2 linked regions of the Drosophila melanogaster genome follow. The protein of the gene in region 2 purifies or fractionates together with the protein of the main gene of each other region. This does not show direct contact. Each region holds a gene or a part of one and is shown on either strand. Other genes may lie near its edges. The genes, in order: LRP1 and Mcr.

What was found.
Region 1: the proteins of Mcr (region 2) and LRP1 purify together in Drosophila melanogaster (affinity purification with mass spectrometry, with the first as the bait; one large-scale study listed by BioGRID). This does not show direct contact.

The regions. Positions count from the first base shown.
Region 1 is NT_033778.4:8,172,534-8,177,396, forward strand, and holds the start of LRP1 (LDL receptor protein 1), read left to right. Parts: upstream 1-1,631; 5' UTR 1,632-2,123; coding exon 2,124-2,298; intron 2,299-4,863. Other genes in the region: CG14757 (uncharacterized protein), read right to left, coding at 1-238, 640-836, 947-964.
Region 2 is NT_033779.5:8,079,706-8,084,626, forward strand, and holds the start of Mcr (macroglobulin complement-related), read right to left. Parts: upstream 3,278-4,921; 5' UTR 3,106-3,277; intron 908-3,105; 5' UTR 906-907; coding exon 58-905; intron 1-57.

The sequences.
Region 1 (4,863 bases), on a different chromosome or scaffold from region 2:
TTCGGCGTTCTTGACGTGCTCCTTCAACAGCCCCATGATCTCCGTGTCGTACTCCTTGGGCGTGGGCTTCACCTCGGTGGCCCAGTAATAGATATCCCAGTCGTTGCTGACCCCGTTGATCAACTGGTCGTACTGCGCCGTCTGCTCGGCGCTGAAGTTCTGGAGATGCTTGGCCGCAAAGGTGCTCAGCAGAAGATCGTTCTCCAGCATTCCGCGCTTGCGCGATTGGTACAAAAGCCTGGAGGTGAAGTGTTTTTCTGGTTAATATTAAAAAATACTTATGGAAAGAATAGCTTAGTTGGTTGTACAACTGATGCAAAATTAAGAAGTGCGATCGATGATGAAGAAAAAAGAAACTTGGAGTTTAAATCCTATTTTTCTGTTCTACATTTTAAAATTAAAATAGTATAAATTTTTCTAAATAGAGGTTGTCATGCTTTCTTAAAAAAAAGTAGAGTTCATAAATGGAAGTGTTTAAGGCAATGGTGGATGAGAGCAAAGGGAAAATATATATATTAAATATGAGCTCTTTTAATTAATGATTTTCCTTATAAGTAAAGTAAGTATAGTAAAGTATAGAATAAAGTAAAGTATAGTTATAGTAGTAGTTATTAATTAATAGTTAATAATTTTACCCACCGTTGCTTGCGAGTTTCCAACGGCTCGTTTGGACGCACCGGATACTCCGGCAGTGGAAGATAATCCGGGTCCTCGTAGTCCACAATCACGTCGTTGAAAGTGCTGGCCAGTGGTGGTGGCGGTGGAGGAGAGTCCTTCATGTTGGACATGGAGCGTCTCCACGGGAGGAAGATCCAACCCGAAATATCCATTGTCAACTGGGCGTTACGAAAATAAAAATAGAAAATGTACATATGTAGAAAAACTGCATAAATTGCATTCAATTGCAGTCTTATGCAACCGGTTCGGGTACATTTCCAGGGCTTACCCGTAGTTGGCGCAGCATTCTGGGTACAGACAATTATGGAATTCTTAAAAATTTTTCTGTTCGGTGGGTATTTTTGGATTTGTATTGAGCTATCGGAAAATTTGAAAAATCAAAATATTTTGACAACTGCCGGCCGTTCGATTTGTGACTAAAAAACGAAAAGTGCGTTCTCTGTCTAACAGAGCTTTTTTTATTAAGGGCCTTCCTCTGTTTTATTTTTAATTAGCACTTGTTGATATTTATGGCATCGCCAGACGGCCATGCCCTCGCCGCCCATCCAGAGATCCGGGAATCATTGATAATAGTATTAAAAAGAGTTATAAAATAATTATTACAGTAAGCATCACAGTAATGTTGTGTGTTGTTTTGTGTGTGGTGTTTTTACCATCGACAACGTCGATTACGTAGAACTGGATTATACATGTTTTTGGAACAAATATCCCCATTAAAAGTAATGAGGTGATTATAAATCAAATTAATTTGAAATTAGCGCCTTACAATTTCTGTGTGGCCAATTAACAGCACTGTTAAATTTCTTCATCACACAAACATCGACGGTGTGACCGGAGTCGCGGCTGTAAAAAATACTGTTCAATAGCTGCGCGTAGTATTTAACCGGTTGGAGCGCTTCAATCGGTAAACGCAGTTGAAGGTGTTCGGTCGCTTCGCGCAAATCTCGCAGAGCAGAGATCGAAATATAATAGAATCGAGCGGTCGTGCGTGCTGCTGAAGTCGAAGAAAAAATTACGGGAAATCACGCCGCTTCGGTGAAAACAGCCGGCAAAATATAATGAGTTAATATTTGTTTTTTTCCGTTGTGTTTGGCGGATAAGAAAATCGCGGCATGAGGGATGCTGAAGTGATTGAGTGCGGTGTACTAATGTGCAGCGAATTCTGAGCGCGTAAAGCGTTTCGAAAAATTAAACAAACAAAATGCATGTTTCAATGGAAATCTAAGTAAAAAAAAGTTACCTGTTTGTGATTTGCTTGCCACCCCCGGTTTACGTGTGTTTGGTGTGAGTTCGAGTTTGTGAGTGTGTGAGTGTTGTGTTATTGTGTAAAAGGAAGGCTGAAACAACACGAAGGAGAGCAAGAAGAAGAACAACAACAAGGAGAGTCGCGCGCGCGTCTGTGTGTGCGTGGTAGCGTGTGTGTGAGGAGAGCGGCCAGCGGCATAATGCCGGCGACAGCGAATTCATGGATCTTGTTGCTGTTGTTGTTGGTCGCCGTGGAAAGATGCAGCAGCAACAGCAGCGGGCGCATCAATAGTCGCAGCAGCAGCAGCGGCTACAGGAAGGTCCAGTGGCAGGAGCAACAGGAGGCCCCCACTCTGCGTCCCCTTCCCGATAAAGGTACGTGTGCTATCTCCGTCTGGCTCATCTCCCTATCTCCCTCTTCCCTCTCGCTCCCCCGCATCTTAATTGTTGTTAATCTGCGGTGCATTAACCTGGCCTAAGTAAACAACTCCTCCCCCGCTTCCCCTCCCATCACACTGGCTGTGCCAAAAATAACAACTGCTCTCTCCGTCTGCCATCCTGTCTCTCTGTCGGTCTCTTTGTCTCTCTGTTTTTGTATGCTGTTAGTTCCCCTTTCTCCATGCCCCCTCCCCCATCAAGCGTCACTTCACTTTGTTATGCAAATTCCTTGGTTTTCTCGCCGCAAAATGCCGCAAAACAAATGAAAATAGAAACAAAAACAAGTGTATGCAAAATATTTTTGTCGCTTTTTTTGCGGTTTCGGTTGGAATTTTCGCGCAACGAGAATTAAATAAAAATATTTGGCCATCATGCAAAGATGCAGATCTCGAGGATAGTCAAAAAAAAAAGTAATTGAGCTTGCATTCTTTCCAAAGAGTTTTCAAGTATAAAAGTTGAAGGACTTATAGAGAAATAAGTCTTGTAAAAATGTACTGAATTAAGGTCTATATTTAATTAAAAACTGCACTATTTAATTGTTATATGTTATTCAAAGAGAAAAGAATAGTTATTAAAAATCATTAGAAATGTTACACTTGAACCCATCACTTGACATTTTGCATGTAAGCAAGTAAAGATACATATAATTCGTAGTTCGCGTCAGCCGCTGACACCGAATGAAATACTTATGACCGCGGAAAATTTGCGCTGCAACAACAAATAAATTTAAATAAATTATGTACATACATACAATGGACTTCTTGACTCGGTCGCATTATGCATGCACATGATCCATGACCCGGGGGTCCAAAAGTCTGCGCACAAAGGCCACTGCTGCCCCCATCTCGTTAAGATTGTGAAGAAGGAACGCGCAGAAGTAAATAAAATTAAAGTAAGCATTTCCTCATTTGACGAGCGATGCGACGCCAGCACTCAGTGACAATTTGAGAGAGCGAATGCACAGAAGGCACCGAAATCAATCAAACGAATTGTCTGTCTGTCTGTCTGTCTGACTGACAAATCCAACGAGACAACGTAACGGATGAGATAAACGACAAAGTTAGAAGGCGACTCGGATTATTCATTTATTAAGCTTGTGCACTTATTTCGCATTCACTGCGAGATCTGTAATTCCCTATCCCTACGCAGATTGAGAATCGGCTTCTCCTGCGATGAATGCAGTAGCTAGTAGCTAGCTGCACCTACAAATGTTAATGACACCTTGTTGTTTATGTTTTATTTTTGAAATCTCATTTATAATCTTTTCGCCAAAGTGCAAACAACAAACGAACACTGTATTAGAGCACAAAATGTGTATTGTTGCTTCCATTTAAAGTCCAGCTATTTATATAGATCGTATGAATTTACAATATAGATTTCCTTTTGTATCGTGTTTTTCAAGGCCGTTCACTTGCCATTTCACAAATCGCATAATTAAGCCAATTTGCATTTTGTTAATCCAGACAAATGGATTGGCTAATGCTTCTACTAAAGAGAATTGTATTCTGGAAAACAAGATAGCATTTGTTTTGGCCCAAAGGCTTAGCTCTTTATTAACTAATCATTTTCAACAATTAAGCTTGGTTTGATTTAATACAATTATTAAGATCAGCTCTCTATTTTAATTCACTCTAAATGTCATATTACAATTTTTACATTTTGTTTCAATTTACGTAAGAGTTCTGTCTAATTTTTTAACCTGCCGCGGCCTTTTGAACAGTTTAACCATTTGCGACGCACCCACAATTTGCGACCCGTGCACAAATTTGTGTAGCTGGCTGAAGTGTTTCGCAGTGAGCGTTCTTCCCCGCGGCTATAAAGTGGTGGAGGGGTGGTGGGATGGTGGGGTTAAAGCTCTGCCTGCAACCCTACAGTGAATCCTCCCTTTTGCCGCCGCTGCCTCCATTGCCATTTCTGCCCCGGCCATCCTGGGCTGGCGGAAATATTGCGGAAATCGTTTATCATGTCGCCAATGGCTCTGTTTTAATAATTGCTGTCCGCGTTAAACGGACGGTGTGGAAAAAGGGGGCGGGAAACCGGAATGCAAAGTGGGAGTGGCACGCCTCATTTGTGTTCACGAACGGAGGCAGAAGAAGTGATGAAAGCACACTGATTGTCCCCAGCGATAAATTCATGAGCGTAACTATTTTTGAAAATTCGCCCAAGCTATGGTGAACAAAAAACTATCTTGTTAATAACTAGTGAAATAGTGCAATAAAATAGATGGATTATATAGCATATGTGACTTTTTTGATGAAACTATAATTCCGGCTTTATTTCTTATCTTGCTCGTGTGTTACGAAGTCACGGAATCGGACACTGATAAGGAATTGGGGGTAATGATTAAAGGTTAATTATTTGTTTATAATTAATCAGTAATCTTGAACACTAAAGCAATCCTATTTGCTATTTGCAGGTGCTTCCTTTTTACAGTATTTTCAATATGTATTGATATGGTTTGAAGAACTAATCTACAGTAAATAATGAAAGTAAACAACAAGT
Region 2 (4,921 bases):
TAATTTGTTGATGGAGAGGAACTATTAAGACGTATGAAATATAATAATTCCACTTACCGCGATAGCCAACGTTTAAGAATATGCCTGTTTGGATCCAGCATGTACACATCGACGGGATTGTCAAATCCCTTCAGTTCGGTGGTGATCGGAATGGTCCTAAATCGCACAGTTTCCCCTTGCATATAAAGAGGCTTATCGGTCTGCACAAATATCGTCATGGAGCGCTGTGAGAAGTCTAGTCTTGTTTCGTTCAGGAAGGCGAGGCCACCGAAAACGTTCTGGTAGAAACCTTCCACTCGAAGCTTATAGCTTCCAGTCACACTAGTTGGTGGGATCCTCATGAGCAACGTCTCCGGTATGCCCTCCTTGACATCCTTAGAGTCTCCGCTGATTTGGACACCATCGCACGCGATGCTGGCATGAACGGTTATCGGGTACTGAGCTTGAAGAATGGATACGGACACCTGATAGATTAGACCAGGTCTGACCATTCGAGATGCCACAATGAAGTAAGTGGGCTCCCTGGAATGCAGCGATTCCAGGAAGGTGGCCTTGATGTTATAGGACGACTTTCCACGAGTCAGACTCGGCTCCTCGTTGTCCTGATAGCCTCCTCCCACTCGTTTATTATAGTCATCTTGCCCGGCAATATCGTTGTAGCTCCCCGAATCGGTCCTGTACGGCGGGCGATCACTGGGATTCGTTTGGCCAAAGTTTTGGTTGTTGTTGCTATACTGATTCGTCTGTGGATTGTTACCCCACTGCTGGTTGGGCAGTAGCGGCTGCTGGGGATTCTGCTGGTTCTGGTTGGGGTTGTAGTAGTTGTCGTTTTGTCCGACCGCCGGTTGCAGTGCATCCAAGACGGCGGCTACCACGAGCAGGGCGCGCAGCAAGTGCCACATCATTGCTGAGAGGAGAAGTCAGAAGTGAATGAATTAGAATCGCTGGGCATAAATGCATCTCCCAAATACTATAAATAGAGGCCTCTGATTTGGGTGATCGGCCTGTTCTTTAATGCCTGTCGAATAGGGTGTATCAATGGTTTTCAAAACAAATTTTCGAGTTTATTCGATTTTTCGATAAAAAATAGTAAGCTTTGTATGAAGTTTTTTTGTGATATTGAATAAGAATCACTTTTAACATCCCTGAATAAGCTGCTCTTTAAAAATAAGTGCATAACCTCCTACCAATACTTTGTTTTAAATATAGCCTGTAGTTAAGTACTTAAGATTTTTTTAAATTTTTCGCATATATGTATTTCCAAAGCACCCTAATCCCTAAGTCATGGACCGCATCTCATGTTCGAGGATTGTTGTTGGTCGGTTGATTTCCGCGTGATGCGAACAAGTCGTTAATGAGGGCGCCGACATCGGTATTAATAGACTATAGACGCGATCCGGCAGGAGCAATGAACGTATCTTCAGGGAGATCTTTTTAAGGGGCCAGCGGCAATATGGAAACTATGTCAAACATTAAGTAAAATGTCATTCAAGTGGGCGGCGCAATTAGACAGCAGAGATGTATGCCACGCTGGGATTTGAGGCGTTCGAATCTTCTTTTGAATGGGTTTTTAATGCCTTCGTTATTTATGGTTGATTTATAAGAGATTACGAAATCTCAGCTTCACAAACCACTTTGATTTTCGAGGAATAATTATGAATATACCCATACTATACTATAGACAATTTTTCATATCAATAATGATGTGAACTTTTAATTTAATCTACTTAAAATTCAAAAGTATGACAAATTGTAAGGAACGTTTGAACTCAATTAAAACAGTTCTTAGGAGTTCTTAAAAAATTCATTTTTAAAAATTATTTATTTTTTTTTTGCAAATTGCTGGTGGAGAAATGTGTGCAACATTAAAAAATGCGCATATTTAAGTATTCCAGCTTATCAGCACACAATCAGCCGGCACACAGGGAATACATCATTCGAGCAAGGACCTCGAAATCCTCCCTACTCAGGTATTAACTCCATGGTGTAGGGTAAGAAGTCAACGCTTAATGGCAACCATACAAAAAGGGTCCACGCCAGGAGAACAATGAGGCACCGGCACCGACTTCTAGACAAGTGAGGTGAAATGAAATTGAAGGATGGATGGAGGGAGTGCGTGTGTGTGTGTGGCTGGCTGCATTTGAAATGCATTCACTGGCGAGCAAATGAAGGTAAAGGTAGACCACTGGAACTGAGCGAAACACGCAAATGAAACAACCGGCTACCTGACCATAGATATCGGCCTGGGCGAGATACTCTGTGCACTGAAGCAGCAGAAGTTACTGGCCTATAGGCCAGTCTCTACTCTCGGCGGTGAAAACAAATACCGAACTCGTAATAATTTCAACAACGCGACTTGTAATCCACCCTTTGCGCACAGCTACACAGAGAGAAAATAGTTTACTAGATTTATTTTTTTCACCTTTTGAAATAAATAAGATCTTGATTAAATGGGATTTTTCATATTAAAAATATAAATATTTTTCATTATAAAAAAAAATATTGAATTTTGTTATTTAAAAAAATCTTTTTATAGAGTTTTCTTTCGTTTAAAAATGCCATTTCGGTATAACATTTCTATATAACAAATATATTTGACATCACTTTTTCCAGTGCAAGAGGGCGCACCAGCACCAGCGTAATACACAAGTAAAGTGGGCATTAATTAGCCGAGAAGACCCATTCGAAATGAGTTGAGAGGGCAAAAGTGCAATTGAAACAGCAGGCAGGACATTTTGGGCGGCCAAAGGAGCAACTGTTGGCGGAAATTCGAGAGCTTGAAGGCAGAAAAACGAAAGAAGACGCCGCAATCCAATTGGCCAGCAGGTGGCCAAAACGCCATCCTCACTCACATTTCCTTTTAGTGGCAAAGTGTTCCTAACGAAAAACTTCCTTTACAATTACTAATTAAAGCAACGAGCACATAGTACAAAGTTGTAACCAATATTTGAGGCACTTCTTCGTTTTTCGGTCAACGCCCATGTGCCAACAACAACAACAGCAACAACACAATAACACTGGCTTAGGCATTTTGGAGACGGCCAAACACACGATTTTTGGGCGGGTCGCCAAGTGGAAGAGCTCCGAAAAGCCATTTCTACTCACCTCGGTACTGAAATTCGATCTAATCTGGCTGCTCAGCAGGCCATGCACATTTTATTAAACAACAGAAAGGTAAATAAAACTAACTCGGGAACTCAAAGATTCGAAAAAATGAAACAACACAAAACCAACAGCGATCCACACCCGCTTTGATGACTGATGCAGTGTGACCGTTCGCAGAGATTGGCACAATACCAGATTTCAGGTGTGGCCAGAACGCTAAGAATTTAACGGTCGCACTGCGAGTTCAAACTGCTGATGTGAAAATTTTATAATTCCTAATGATTTTAATGTCATAATAAATTAGGAACAAAGGAAGTAAGCTCATAACGTTACAAAAGTTTATCAGAAAAGCGTATTTTTATTTATTAACTAAGTTTAAGCTTAATCTGCGAACCAGTTATAATTTACGTGTTTCCACAGAATTCTAAGAATAACATATTGCTAGAATATATGAGGGAATTTAGTTCTTAGCCTGGGAGTAAGACAGAGATGGCAAAACTTCATCCGCTCAGCGCCAGTGTTGGATAATGGCATTCTATAGTCTTTTTAGTATATATCGTTCAGTATTTTTGCTACTATTTGACTATAAGCCTTGGTCATACCACCGCTTCAGTTGTCTGTGTGTGTGTGTATTGTATGCATGTGATGTAAGGTCATTCGCGTGAAAATATCAGCGAGGAAAAAATCGAATTTTTGTGTTTTGTGTGCTAGGTAAATGCGAAAAATTGTGCAAAGTCGATCGGTTTAAGGCCCAGTCTGTGTGCCAGCGGTGAAAGTGTGAGCCCCCTCGGTCATTTACGTGTGAAAAGTCGCCAAGAAGTCAAAGGTGCTGGGTTGCCCAACGCAAAAATTATGACGAAAAGCACACCAGCACAAGTACCCATCTCTCTCTCTCTCTCACACACACACACTCGCACACGCAGCAGAAGCAAAAGCAGTGGAGCTGGGAGAGCTAGAACCTAGAGTTGTCAACGCTTTGCGAGGAATTTCGTCATTGAGCGGTGGCATGTGTGTGTGTCAGTGCGTGCTCAGTGAGTGTGTGTGCGAGAGTGCGTGCGTGTGTATTGGTAGTTTGTTCTCTTCATTGGTAGTAAAACACAAAAGAAAAATCATCGGGGAAAAATGTGAAAAATGTACATAATTCGTAACCCAGTCTGCGGCTAGTGCTCGCCAGCCAGTGCCCGAAAATCGTGCTGAGATGAAACACCGCGCACCGATTGAAAAACTATTACATAAATAGTGCAAAGTGTAAATGTTATTGAAGGCAAAAAAGCGGAGCAGCGTTGGGAAAAAGAGCCGCGCACGCTGTCGTCATCGCTGCTCAAAAAGCAAGAAGAAAGCGAAAAAGAGAAATATAAAGACACCCCCTTCCTTTGCCACAAAAGAAAAGAAATGAAATGAAAATGGAAACCCAGTAACTAAAATCCCCAACGCGTTACTGTCACAATGCCGAAAAGTGCTTAAAAACCATATCCGTGTCTGTGTGTGGGTGTTTTCCCTGCTCTGATGTACATACTCCAGTGTGATGCATGATGTACGATGTACTACACTATTCATGCCAATAACATTTTGTTAATACCGTAAATAAACTAATAACATTTAACGCGTGCGATTGTGTGGGTGTTGGGGAATACGGCCCTGCGCCTGTGTGAGTGACCTCGTGTGCGTGTGTCGCGTGCTCCGCTAGTGTTGGTGTATCTTTGCAAGTGTGTGTGTGTGCGGCGGCAAGGAGTGTCATGCGTATATTCTACCTCCCACAACCCCCTACTTACCCACCACCCCCACCCGCAACCTCACACCCTTTTCGAACACTGAC